2 linked regions of the Arabidopsis thaliana genome follow. The protein of the gene in region 1 interacts with the protein of each later gene in a pairwise test. Each region holds a gene or a part of one and is shown on either strand. Other genes may lie near its edges. The genes, in order: AT4G20790 and SUB.

The links.
Region 2: the proteins of AT4G20790 (region 1) and SUB interact in a protein complementation assay, tested with the Arabidopsis thaliana proteins (2 studies listed by BioGRID).

Annotation. Positions count from the first base shown.
Region 1 is NC_003075.7:11,134,063-11,138,216, reverse strand, and holds AT4G20790 (Leucine-rich repeat protein kinase family protein), read left to right. Parts: upstream 1-1,793; coding exon 1,794-3,051; intron 3,052-3,143; coding exon 3,144-3,442; downstream 3,443-4,154.
Region 2 is NC_003070.9:3,720,797-3,728,041, forward strand, and holds SUB (Leucine-rich repeat protein kinase family protein), read left to right. Parts: upstream 1-1,911; 5' UTR 1,912-2,338; coding exon 2,339-2,429; intron 2,430-2,772; exon of another isoform or gene 2,773-2,806; coding exon 2,807-2,936; intron 2,937-3,033; coding exon 3,034-3,105; intron 3,106-3,270; coding exon 3,271-3,336; intron 3,337-3,427; coding exon 3,428-3,499; intron 3,500-3,582; coding exon 3,583-3,654; intron 3,655-3,733; coding exon 3,734-3,805; intron 3,806-3,879; coding exon 3,880-3,945; intron 3,946-4,042; coding exon 4,043-4,108; intron 4,109-4,191; coding exon 4,192-4,685; intron 4,686-4,781; coding exon 4,782-5,140; intron 5,141-5,230; coding exon 5,231-5,502; intron 5,503-5,575; coding exon 5,576-5,714; intron 5,715-5,797; coding exon 5,798-5,913; intron 5,914-6,049; coding exon 6,050-6,206; intron 6,207-6,319; coding exon 6,320-6,382; 3' UTR 6,383-6,654; downstream 6,655-7,245. Other genes in the region: AT1G11145 (hypothetical protein (DUF674)), read right to left, coding at 6,736-6,840, 6,916-7,245. UniProt on the Arabidopsis thaliana protein: Regulates the expression of transcription factors that define the cell fates.

The sequences.
Region 1 (4,154 bases):
CACTAGACTAGTACACTAGCCAAGATAGAATACTAAACAAAAGACGTCGTGACCAACCATGGAGAATCTTCGCCGGAGAACTTGTTCAAGTGATTTGAAAGTCTGAATTTTTTCGCAGTTAATAGCCTTTCCTGGCCTAGTTTTATCAACCTTGAAATCCCACCAACCATTGGAGTAGCAAATCCACCGGCCGACCATGGAGACGCAGGATTCATCGTCCCCTGAAAAAACGAAAACAGAGTCATCGTCTCCATCGTTATTTGTTGGCCGTACACTCAATTTCATAAACTGTAAAGCTTCTTATGATAACTCATACCTTCCATCTCGACAGATTTTGACAATGTGTGTATGATTTTCGAAGTGACGAGGGTTTATCTTCTTTTGACAATGACGACTTCAGAGAAGATGTCGACGACGAGAGAAGTTTATGTTCAACGAGGGTTTAGGAGATAAGTTTATGTTTGGTTTCAATGTCTTGAGGACAAATGGGTTTGAGTTTTGTGATATTAGCCCATGACAAATCTTGAATTTTGAATGATATTGGGCTGGTTTGAATTTGGCCCATTAGTTTTCATCAAAACACAAGAGGGGTAAAACGGTCTTTGACTATTTGCTGTATTAGAGGAGGGCTGTATTAGAGAGGACAGAAGAAACTACCCTATCAGCCTATTTTTAAAAAAACTGTCTAGTTCTCAAATTATTTCCCTAAAAACTGCCTAGTTCTCAACTTATCTCAAATGACTATTCCTCTCACTTTTTGAGTTAGTGCTCATGGAAGTAGCATTTAGCTTCTGTTGAATTCACCTTTTAATGCGTTGCATTAGTGTAAAATTCTCTAACAATTAAGAAGCCTGAGTAAGTTTGCAATAAATTTTATTTTCTTTATCAAAAGTTTACCTTTTAGCTCCTGTTGAATTTCCATTTTTTTAAAGATTCATTAAGACAATAACTATTATTTTTATATATTTTTATTATTCTTAATTAAGAAAATACAAAAAATTATAAAATATGTTAATAACAAAATAATAAACAATACAACATAGGAAACTATACCAATTAAAGAAATTAAATGCATATAGATTAGATGAATAAAAATAGAAATGTAGAAAATTAAAAATTATATATATGATTCTATAAATCTAAATTTTAAATTAGGCATATTAATTTGGTAAAATTGCAGAAATATAAAGTTCATTGGATATAAAGTGAAACTATTGAAGATTTTATTGATAGTAGTTTATATAATTCAATTCAATTCTCAAACAAAAATTATATTTAACATTGAGCACATTTACCAAATAATTATCGACTCAAATTCACCCACGTAGATGTTTGTTGCGCAAGAAAGAGAAAAAGTTTAGAACAAGATAAATAGACCAAAGAGACAAGAAATATATGAAAGGAATTCGAGGCACAATCTTACAAATACAAGCAAAACCATTCTAGATAATTTTTTACCAACTGACATAAACACATTATTATGTGTTCAATGACAACGAAAATGATAATTAAACATTGAAATTTGTTTTCATAGTGGAGCTATTGTAAAAAGTGTAGATATTCACAAAATTTAAAAAACTTCACAATTATTATTATTTTAATAATCTTCAACTTCCAAGCACACGATCACTAAAAGGAAAATGGGCGCGTAAATCTCATCCCACTCTGTTTCAAAATAACCGCCAACAACAACAACACCTCCAATAACACAGAAACTACCTCTCTGCTTCTCTCTCTAATCTCACCCATACACGAAACCAAATAACGAAACCTATTTGCTCTCTATCTCTCCAATGGCGTCTTCTCTGTTCTTCATCTTCTTCCTCACGTCACTACTATCATCCTATCTTCCTCTCTCAGTATTCTCCGCAACCGTCGTCGAAGACCTCGCTAATCTAAGTCCACCTCCTGATTTCAACACCACTATTTCCAACAACTGTCTTCGTGATCCAATGCTCCGTTACTGCAACAACACTTCCTCTTCTCCAATGGACATTGTCGAGATTTTCAGATCCACAATCGTCGCTAGTCATCTCTGTAACGAGTCCAAAAACCCTAACTGCGTTGAATCTTTCCCTAGAATCAGAATTCACGGTCGTCCTAAAACCGCTGCTCTTTACCTCTCTTTCGATTTCTTCTGGAAGTACTGTCCTTTAACCGTCGTTGATATCGAGTTAGTGAATAACTCTCTAACGAATGGTTTTCCGACAAATGTTCTGTCTTGTGCTCAGATTCGTACTCTTGATCTGAGTTACAACCAATTCTCTGGTTTTGTTCCGGTTCAAGATCTCTCAGGCTTACCCAATCTGACCCATTTGAACCTATCGTATAACCGATTCTCCGAGAATAAGATCTCGGATTCTGAGTTCTTCAAACGGTTTAACGCCTCTAGTTTCATACAGTCCGGTGTTCTTCCCAACGTGAAGCGTTACAAGATGAAAGTTTTGGTCTTGTTGATTGTTTTTCCAATAATGGTGATTTTGCTCTGTTTTTGCTTTGGCTGGTTATGTGTCAAGAGACCTGATTACTTACCAAGAACATGCCGGAGAAGAAACAAGTTCACATTCGCGATGCTTGAAGCAGCAACGGATGAGTTTTCAGATCAACATCTTGTGAGCATGAGCAATACAGTGGATATCTACAAAGGAACGTTAAGAGACGGGACAGAGACGAAGATCGAGGTTTATAAAGAGAAGGTTTCGAGTGAGAAAAGGCGTGAATTCGCAGAGGTATGCGAGATGGTTTTTAAGTTACGACACAAGAACTTGGTAAGAGTGTTGGGTTGGTGTAATAGTAGAAACATGAGAGCTTTGGTTACAGAATGGATTCAAGGTGAAAATGTTGAGACTTGGTTAAGTTCGTCAATGGCTTTATCATGGAGAAGAAGGTTAAGAGTAGTTCTAGGAGTTGTAGAAGGTATTTGTTATCTATCAGATCAATGGCCAGAGATTACATTTGATCTCACCACAAGCAGTGTTTTGTTATCCGATGATAATCAAGAACCTTTGATTTCTCATTTCAAGATTGGAGATAGAAACAACTTGTCAACAAGTAAGGCTTCATCTTCTTCTTGCAAAAATCAAAACCTTTTTAAGGCTATAAAAGCTAAGTCTGTTGTTGTTGTTGTTGTTGTGTTATTACAGATATATTCAACTTTGGATTGTTTTTTGTGGAGATGATTACAAATCTAAGACCTGATTTGGGACAAGAAGATTCAGAAAGAAGGTATCTTGAGTATATAAGAGTTCATTATCCGGATAATCTAGAGAGAGTGATTGATGAGAAGATGAAGATTGAGGGGAGAACATTTGATCAAGTTAAGCAAGCCATTACGCTAGGACTGATGTGTACTGATATAATACCACCATTAAAGCAACCAAGCTTGACGCAGATTTATGACTTGGTGAGTTCATTGTATGAGTCTAGTTCACGACATCATTGAAATACCTTGTAAAGCTTTATTGGTTTCTTTTGATTTTCAGACATCTGGTGTTAGATAGTATTGTAAGGATTAAAGACATATTTGTGTGTTTTTTCTTTGATTACTATAAGTACTGAGAGAATTTGCAGAAAATGAGTACTTAATTTGCAGACATGAAATCTGTAAATGGGCTTCATTTCTGCAAATGGGCTTTATTAGCTGAAATGGGTTTCATAGTTTTATGGGTTCTCAAATGACCCGACCCGGGTTGGAAGATATAGAAACTATACACTGGTTGGCAAATGGGAACGTTCGATTAAAAATTCGGTAACTACTACGACGTGACTTGTCTCTTCTCCGTTGAAAAGCCATCGACAGTTATGTATGAGTGTATCATTTATCAACTTGAAAGCAATTTCAGTTTTTAAAATAATCCAAATACTAATAAACCAGAAATTAACCCATCATCAAAGCATTAATAATCTTCATTACCATTTGAAACCGAAACTTGTATCACAATTAAATAACGATCATAAAATTAGACGTTTTTTTTTCTCTATCTCCATTTTCCCGGGGGAAAAAAGATCGGATTTTTGTTCTAATGTCATTGTCAAAATATTATTCGACAGATCACAAAAAAGGTGACCGTTTTTTTTTTTTTTTTTTTTTGGCAAAAAAAAAGGTGACCTTTTTATTTTGACATTGATAGTATGAATTATGGGGTCTGATGCTA
Region 2 (7,245 bases), on another chromosome or scaffold:
ACAATTCAATAGTTCTGATCAATTTAATATTTTCAAAACGATCAAGTGCATAACAGCAAATTGTATCCAAGTATCGTCTAACAAATTCTTTTAAGTTCTTTTTTTGACTTTTCATAATCTATAGAACTTTTTCTTTGAAGCTTCTTGATGTAAAATGGTAGGGCGGAAAAAGCTAGGGTGATGTAAAACCAAAACTTGAACCAAAATTCGTGTAGATACGTAACTAGATTTGATTTAAATAAATAAAACATTCGTTATGTGCCTTGGATCCTCTGGCTAACGGGTGACCATAAAGTAGTGTTGCATTCTTTAATTTTGTTTCGCCTTTTGCGTAATGAGAGACCATATTATAAAATAAAGCCTAACTTTACAATATCTGTATTTTTTCCTCGACACTCTTTTTTAAGAGACCAATAGTTTGAATTCATTATCATGCATCTTCCAATCTCATAACTAATTTGGTATGCATGTATAAGTGCTACAATCATTATTATATGGGGTTTCTGATTTTTTGAAGTACAAGAATCAAAATGAATCCAACCTGATTGGTGTAGTTTTGGGTCGAGTTCGGTCGAAACAAAAATTTGATTCGGTATTATTTATTTGATTTTGGTTCGGTTTATTATGGTTGGCACTTGGCATATTGGTTTTGAAAAAAAAAAATGTTATCATGTACGATTTTTTTTGGGTGCAAAAAAGCATCATGTACGATAGTTTTCTACTTTTCTTCAAAGATTGAAAGTAACCGTTGCAATCTCATTGCATTATTAGGCCTACGAGAGGTATCTTCTTTCAAGTGGGCTTTACCATTACACTATTGACCAAGTTTGGGCCACATTTGGTTTGAATAGCCCATAAGAATGTGGTTTTTTTTTTTTAACTAGTCGCAACTTATTATCGTGTATGGTGTGAACTTGATTGATTTTGACAAGCCAAAAAAATCGATTGATAATTAATTGATCTCGACAAAATAAAAATCTAATATCAACACATAAGCTCACCAAGCATGTTTTATTCTTTATTGATCATACAATGTATGTTTGCTGTTATTATTCGGGTTGCAAATAATTTATGTGAATATCAGAACTTCAGAAGTAACTCCTACCAAAAAAGGAACTTGAGAAGTAATCACATATGAATATCGAAGTTACTCTCATCTCAAATTATGCAATGATGGCATTCCATTAAATTACTACTATTGAATTGTACACAAATCCTCCATCACATCAACCAACAAACAAAGAATAATACAAATTAAGAATATATTCCAAAGAAATTGATAAATAGTGATTGTTAGTTGTAACTGTAAACACAAAACCAGAATTCTTAATTATTAATAGAAAAACAAAGGTTTCGAATGGTAACCAAAATGCACCGTGCAATCATACATATAACATTAGTTAGTTATTTTTAGAATATATTGAAAAGATAATTATTGTATAATTACTAAGTATATTCAATTTAAAGTCGTAAGAAAAAACCCTTTATTGGCTCTAATTGTTTAAAAACATATATTAGGATTCACTAAGATGTATAATTGAAATCAATTTCCAAACCATGTAAAAGTACTAGTTTTCTCAAATAGTTTGTTGCTATTAGTTTGTTACTAAAACTAATTCACACATTTTTATCACCAAAAGAGCAAAAATGGACGTGGGATGAATATGATGATATTTTTTTTGACCTTGTTGTAGGGTCTCTCACTCTCTTCTTCCATTAAAGAATTCTCAGAGCTTTTCTTACTTCAACTGTTTTCTTGGCCCATCTCACTGAAATAAGTGTGATAAACTCTGCCTGTTACATTATTTGGATTTTAATAGGTGAAGTAACGGAATATGTAATCTACATCAAAATAATATTCACTTCTATCTCTCTACCTTATGGCATTAGAAAAATCCAATTATTACATGAAAGGAAACTATAGTAATTAGATGAAGCATAGAAGCGACAATTAAAAGACATAAAGAGAGACAAGTCTTGGCAAGTTTTCTCTGTTTCACACTTTGGAGACGAAACCTTAAAGGCTTAAAACTGAGAAAAACAAAGCCGTTGGCTTTTGTAAGCCGCTCGTTCTTCGAGACAAAACACACTACACTCTTTCTCTCTCACTCACTCTTCATCTCTTTTCTTCTTTCTCTCTCTCCTAAAAATCCGACGAAATTATGATTCACTTTACCTTTTAATCAGGAATATCCCTGTTTCACCCTTCTTCTTCTTCTTCTTCTTCTTCTTCCTCGTGTTTTTTTTCCATAACATTCCCTCTGAATCTTCGTTTTTTATTGGAAAGAAACAATCTAATCCAAGTTCAAGGGTTTTCTCATCTTCAGTGGCTGAAGTTATGAGCTTTACAAGATGGGAAGTGTTCTTTGGTCTCTCTGTTTTAGCCTTGACAATGCCTTTCTCAGCTGGAGTTACTAATCTACGAGATGGTAATAATCTTTCTCTGCAAAGTTTTTTTTATTTGGATTTTGCTTTGACTCTCCTTCTTTTGGTTTAGTGAACACTCTAGATTTTTTTTAGACTTGTGTCTAGTGAAAATGACTTACATCAGTTTTAGGGTAAACTAGGTAAGCAATATAGCTGTTTGGGAAGCTCCAGATTGGCAAAGTTCTATGATTTTGAGGCTACCTCAAAAACCCTAAAAAGTTTAGGTTTTTGACACATAAGCTCTTGTTAGGGTTTTAGTTCAAGACCAAGAAATTTGTTCTTATTGTTCTTCATTAAATGGTTATCATAAGAAAGATTCTTTAATCTCTAGAAATTTTACTTTTTGATGTGTTTGTCTGTTGTTTAATAACTTCTGCAGTTTCGGCGATTAATAACTTGTATATCACTTTGGGAGCACCATCTCTACATCATTGGCTTGCTTTTGGAGGAGACCCTTGTGGAGAAAAGTGGCAAGGTGTGGTGTGTGACTCCTCAAACATCACAGAAATGTATACTTCCTCTTCTGCTCTTGTAACTCTTTGTTATGGTTTGCTTTGAGTCACCAATTCAGGTTCTAACCACGTGAATTATTGTTGTTGGCTGCAGAAGGATACCTGGCATGAAGGTAGGTGGAGGCTTAAGTGATACTCTGGCTGATTTTTCATCTATCCAAGTCATGTAAGCAAAGCTTCTTGTCTTGTTTTCTTTCATCTTCATCTTTTGTATGAGGCTTCTTGCTATGTGAAGAACATGCAAGATGTTGTTACCATTGACTATAAGGTTTGGTTATAATCTTGAATTGCTTTGTGATACTTTTTCTCTCTTCTTTGTTTGAGTGGACAGGGACTTCAGTAGCAATCATATTTCAGGGACAATTCCGCAGGCTTTGCCTTCTTCCATCCGAAACCTGTGCGTTTGAGAATTGACTATGTGTATGGCAATACTTATGTTTCCAACAGTTAAAAGACACTTCATGTTTGGTTTCATTTTCTTGTTTCAGATCTCTCTCAAGCAATCGCTTCACTGGGAACATTCCCTTTACATTGTCCTTTCTATCCGATTTGTCTGAACTGTAAGTCTTTATTAATGTAGATACCGTTTCTTGCATCTGCGGTTTTTCCTCTGTTTGAAGCAGACTCTTTCTTTTCCCTTCAGGTCATTGGGAAGCAATCTTCTATCAGGAGAGATACCAGATTACTTTCAGCAGCTATCAAAACTGACAAAACTGTATATTTCCTCCTCACTAAGTCTCATTTTGTATCCTCCCATCAGCGTCTTTCATTTATACATTAAGTTTCTAATGCAGGGACTTATCGTCTAACATACTGGAGGGGCATTTACCTTCTTCCATGGGAGACTTAGCTTCTCTTAAGATATTGTAAGTGCACATATATGAAACCGTATACAAACATTGTTATCATTGCTTTTATATGTGATGTGGTCGGACTGTAGGTATTTGCAGGACAACAAGCTCACAGGAACACTTGATGTTATAGAGGATCTTTTCTTAACCGATTTGTAATCGTTTTTCACCTTGCATACTCTTTGTTCTTGACTCTCCAACCATTAAGCCAACTTCAGTATCTCACTATGGCTTTTCATATTTTTGATTCAGGAATGTAGAAAACAACTTATTCTCGGGACCTATACCGCCAAATCTATTGAAAATTCCAAACTTCAAGTAAGTATTACTAAAAGAAAACTTGAATGTTTTTTTTTTCCTTTTCTTTAGCCATTCATGTTACATTGTCATTATAACCGCAGAAAAGATGGAACTCCGTTCAATACATCGATTATAACACCACCGCCTCCGCCTGTGGTTGATCCTCCTCCCGCTACTCACCGTGCTCCTCCTGTTCCCCGTATCCCTCCTGTTTCTGGTGTTCCCCCAGCACCTTTTGCTCCTTTTGCTCCACTGCAACCACAACAACATCCACCACCATCACCACCTCTGGTCTGGTCACCACCTTCTTCTGATAATGGAGGAGGAGATCCCTGGAACTCTGTGTCAGGGCAACCTACCTTGCAAATATCACCTCCTTCAGGTTCAGGATCAGGAAAATTCTGGTCCACTCAAAGAATCATTCTAGTAGTTTCTTCAGTGGCCATAATTGTTCTTGTATCCGGTTTGTGTGTTACACTTTGGAGATGTTGCAGAAGTAAAATATATAACCGATATTACAGTGGAGCTCGTAAAGATTTACAACGACCATACTTCAATAAGCCTCCATCTCAACCAACCCCCACTATGGGAAAAGGTACACTGATTCTTTTCCTTCCAAGAAAAGAAAAGAAACTTGTGCTTTGGCTCATTACCTAACGGCAAACTGCTGTGGTGTTTTCTTTTGTTGCAGTTTCTCGGGAGCCTATGGTTAAGCCTTTCGATGGATATGGAGCTGGAGACAGGAAATATGGGTATCCAATGCCACAGCGGGCTGAAGAGAGCCGGAGAGCAATGCCTCCTACTTCATATTATAATAAGGATGTTAATACACCTCAAAAGCCGCTGCAACAACCACCGAGGCAGTTCCAGTCCAATGATACTGCTTCAAAGAGAGCGGCTCATTTCCCCCCGGGCTTGAATTCCTCATCTTCTGCTACTGTTTTCACCATTGCTTCACTTCAGCAATACACAAATAATTTCTCAGAAGAGAATATAATCGGGGAAGGGTCGATTGGTAATGTCTACAGAGCTGAGCTTCGTCATGGAAAGGTGTGACACTTTCCTCTTATTTGTCATTTGGTCTTACAGTATTTTATGCTGTGCATTCTTATTTACGTCTTGACACGTTGTGATCTATAGTTTCTTGCGGTGAAGAAGCTGAGCAATACCATCAACAGAACACAGAGTGACGGCGAATTCCTCAATCTAGTCTCCAATGTGTTGAAGCTTAAACGCGGTCATATATTGGAGCTTCTTGGTTACTGTAACGAGTTTGGTCAAAGGTTACTTGTGTATGAGTACTGTCCTAATGGATCACTTCAAGATGCACTACATTTGGATCGCAAGTTGCACAAGAAGCTCACTTGGAATGTACGTATAAATATTGCATTAGGAGCTTCAAAGGCATTGCAGTAAGTTAAAGAACCTCAACATGTTACGCCAATCTATATTTGGAACATATAGGATCTTAGAGTTTGGTTTCAGGTTTCTTCATGAGGTATGTCAACCGCCGGTTGTTCACCAGAATTTCAAGTCTTCCAAGGTTCTTCTTGATGGAAAGCTCTCAGTACGTGTTGCAGACAGCGGTTTGGCTTATATGTTACCACCACGCCCAACGAGTCAGGTAAATTTGTCATCTTATTTTGAAGATCCCAAACATAAGAGTGAGTGTTGTAAAGGATATGATGTTTGCTTATAAAATTGTAGATGGCGGGTTATGCCGCTCCTGAGGTTGAGTATGGAAGCTACACTTGTCAGAGCGACGTATTTAGCCTTGGGGTTGTAATGTTAGAACTGCTCACTGGACGCAGACCATTTGACAGGTTAGCTACTCTAAAGAGACAACTAATAGAAGCCATAAAAGAGTCTGAACTCAAAAGTCAACATGTTCACTTATGTTTCTTATGCAAAATCACTGTACTACACTATCTCAAGACAAAACCCTGTTTTTTTTTGCAGGACAAGGCCGAGGGGACATCAAACACTAGCTCAGTGGGCGATTCCTCGGCTTCATGACATCGATGCGTTGACAAGAATGGTTGATCCGTCATTACACGGAGCGTATCCAATGAAATCATTGTCACGTTTTGCAGATATCATATCACGTTCACTGCAGGTAAACTTAACTTCATTCATCACTTAACTAGATGAGAAAGCAATGTCAAACACGTGACATCAGAATATTAACTAACCCTTTTGACTTCTGTGCATGCTTATCTTTGTCTGTAGATGGAACCAGGATTTAGACCGCCGATATCAGAAATAGTCCAAGATCTTCAACATATGATCTAAGATACACAACCTTGGACTAAGACGCAGAAGCAATAGTTTATTGTCAGATTCTTGTTCTTTGTCCTTTGATGAATGAAAGTATTTCTTTTGTATTATAATAACACTTTATGTATGTTGTTGGCTGTATGAAATGAGCTATGGGATCATCATTATGTAACCCCAATCCCATTACCGGCTCAAACATTATTCACCAACCTGATCATGTATTTAGATTCTATTTTCTGAAAAGGATAAACATTTTTTGAATCAAAAGACATTAAAATTCAAGAACAAAAGGTTGTACTTAACAGTAGTGTAAAAGAGAAGGTAACTTGTTCAACTAGCACTGTAGACAACAAAACCTAAACTTCAAATCAATCTGCTCCACAGAGGGCATGTGATTGATGCTTTAGAGTCGTTTCTCTGAAAGAAAGCTCCCGAAAGCCGTAGTCAAGGCAGTGGATGTCACGAATGAGGCTCTTAGTAAACCTATGGCCTGGATTAGTGTCAGATTCAAAAAAAAATATCAGGAAAGAATAGTAATATAGATATACATGTGTTTTGCCAATGTTGATTTCATGCTCAAAAATATCGTCCAAGTTCACATCAAACTTCTTCTTTACGCAAATAGTAAGATCATCTGAGACAATGTATGTTGCCCCTCTCTTAACTAACCCATTGCTACCATGAGGTGTCGACTGAGAACTACCGTCACTGTTTAAATAACTGACCCCAAGCAACGGTTTCTGCAAACTATATTGCCAAGGAAGCATACATGTGTTAGTAGATGCATCTGTGCCTCCCCTAGAGCTCAAGTCCTTCAAGCTTCTACAAAAGTTGCCAATGCATACTAGGTCGATATTGCTTCCAGTGATTTCCCATAC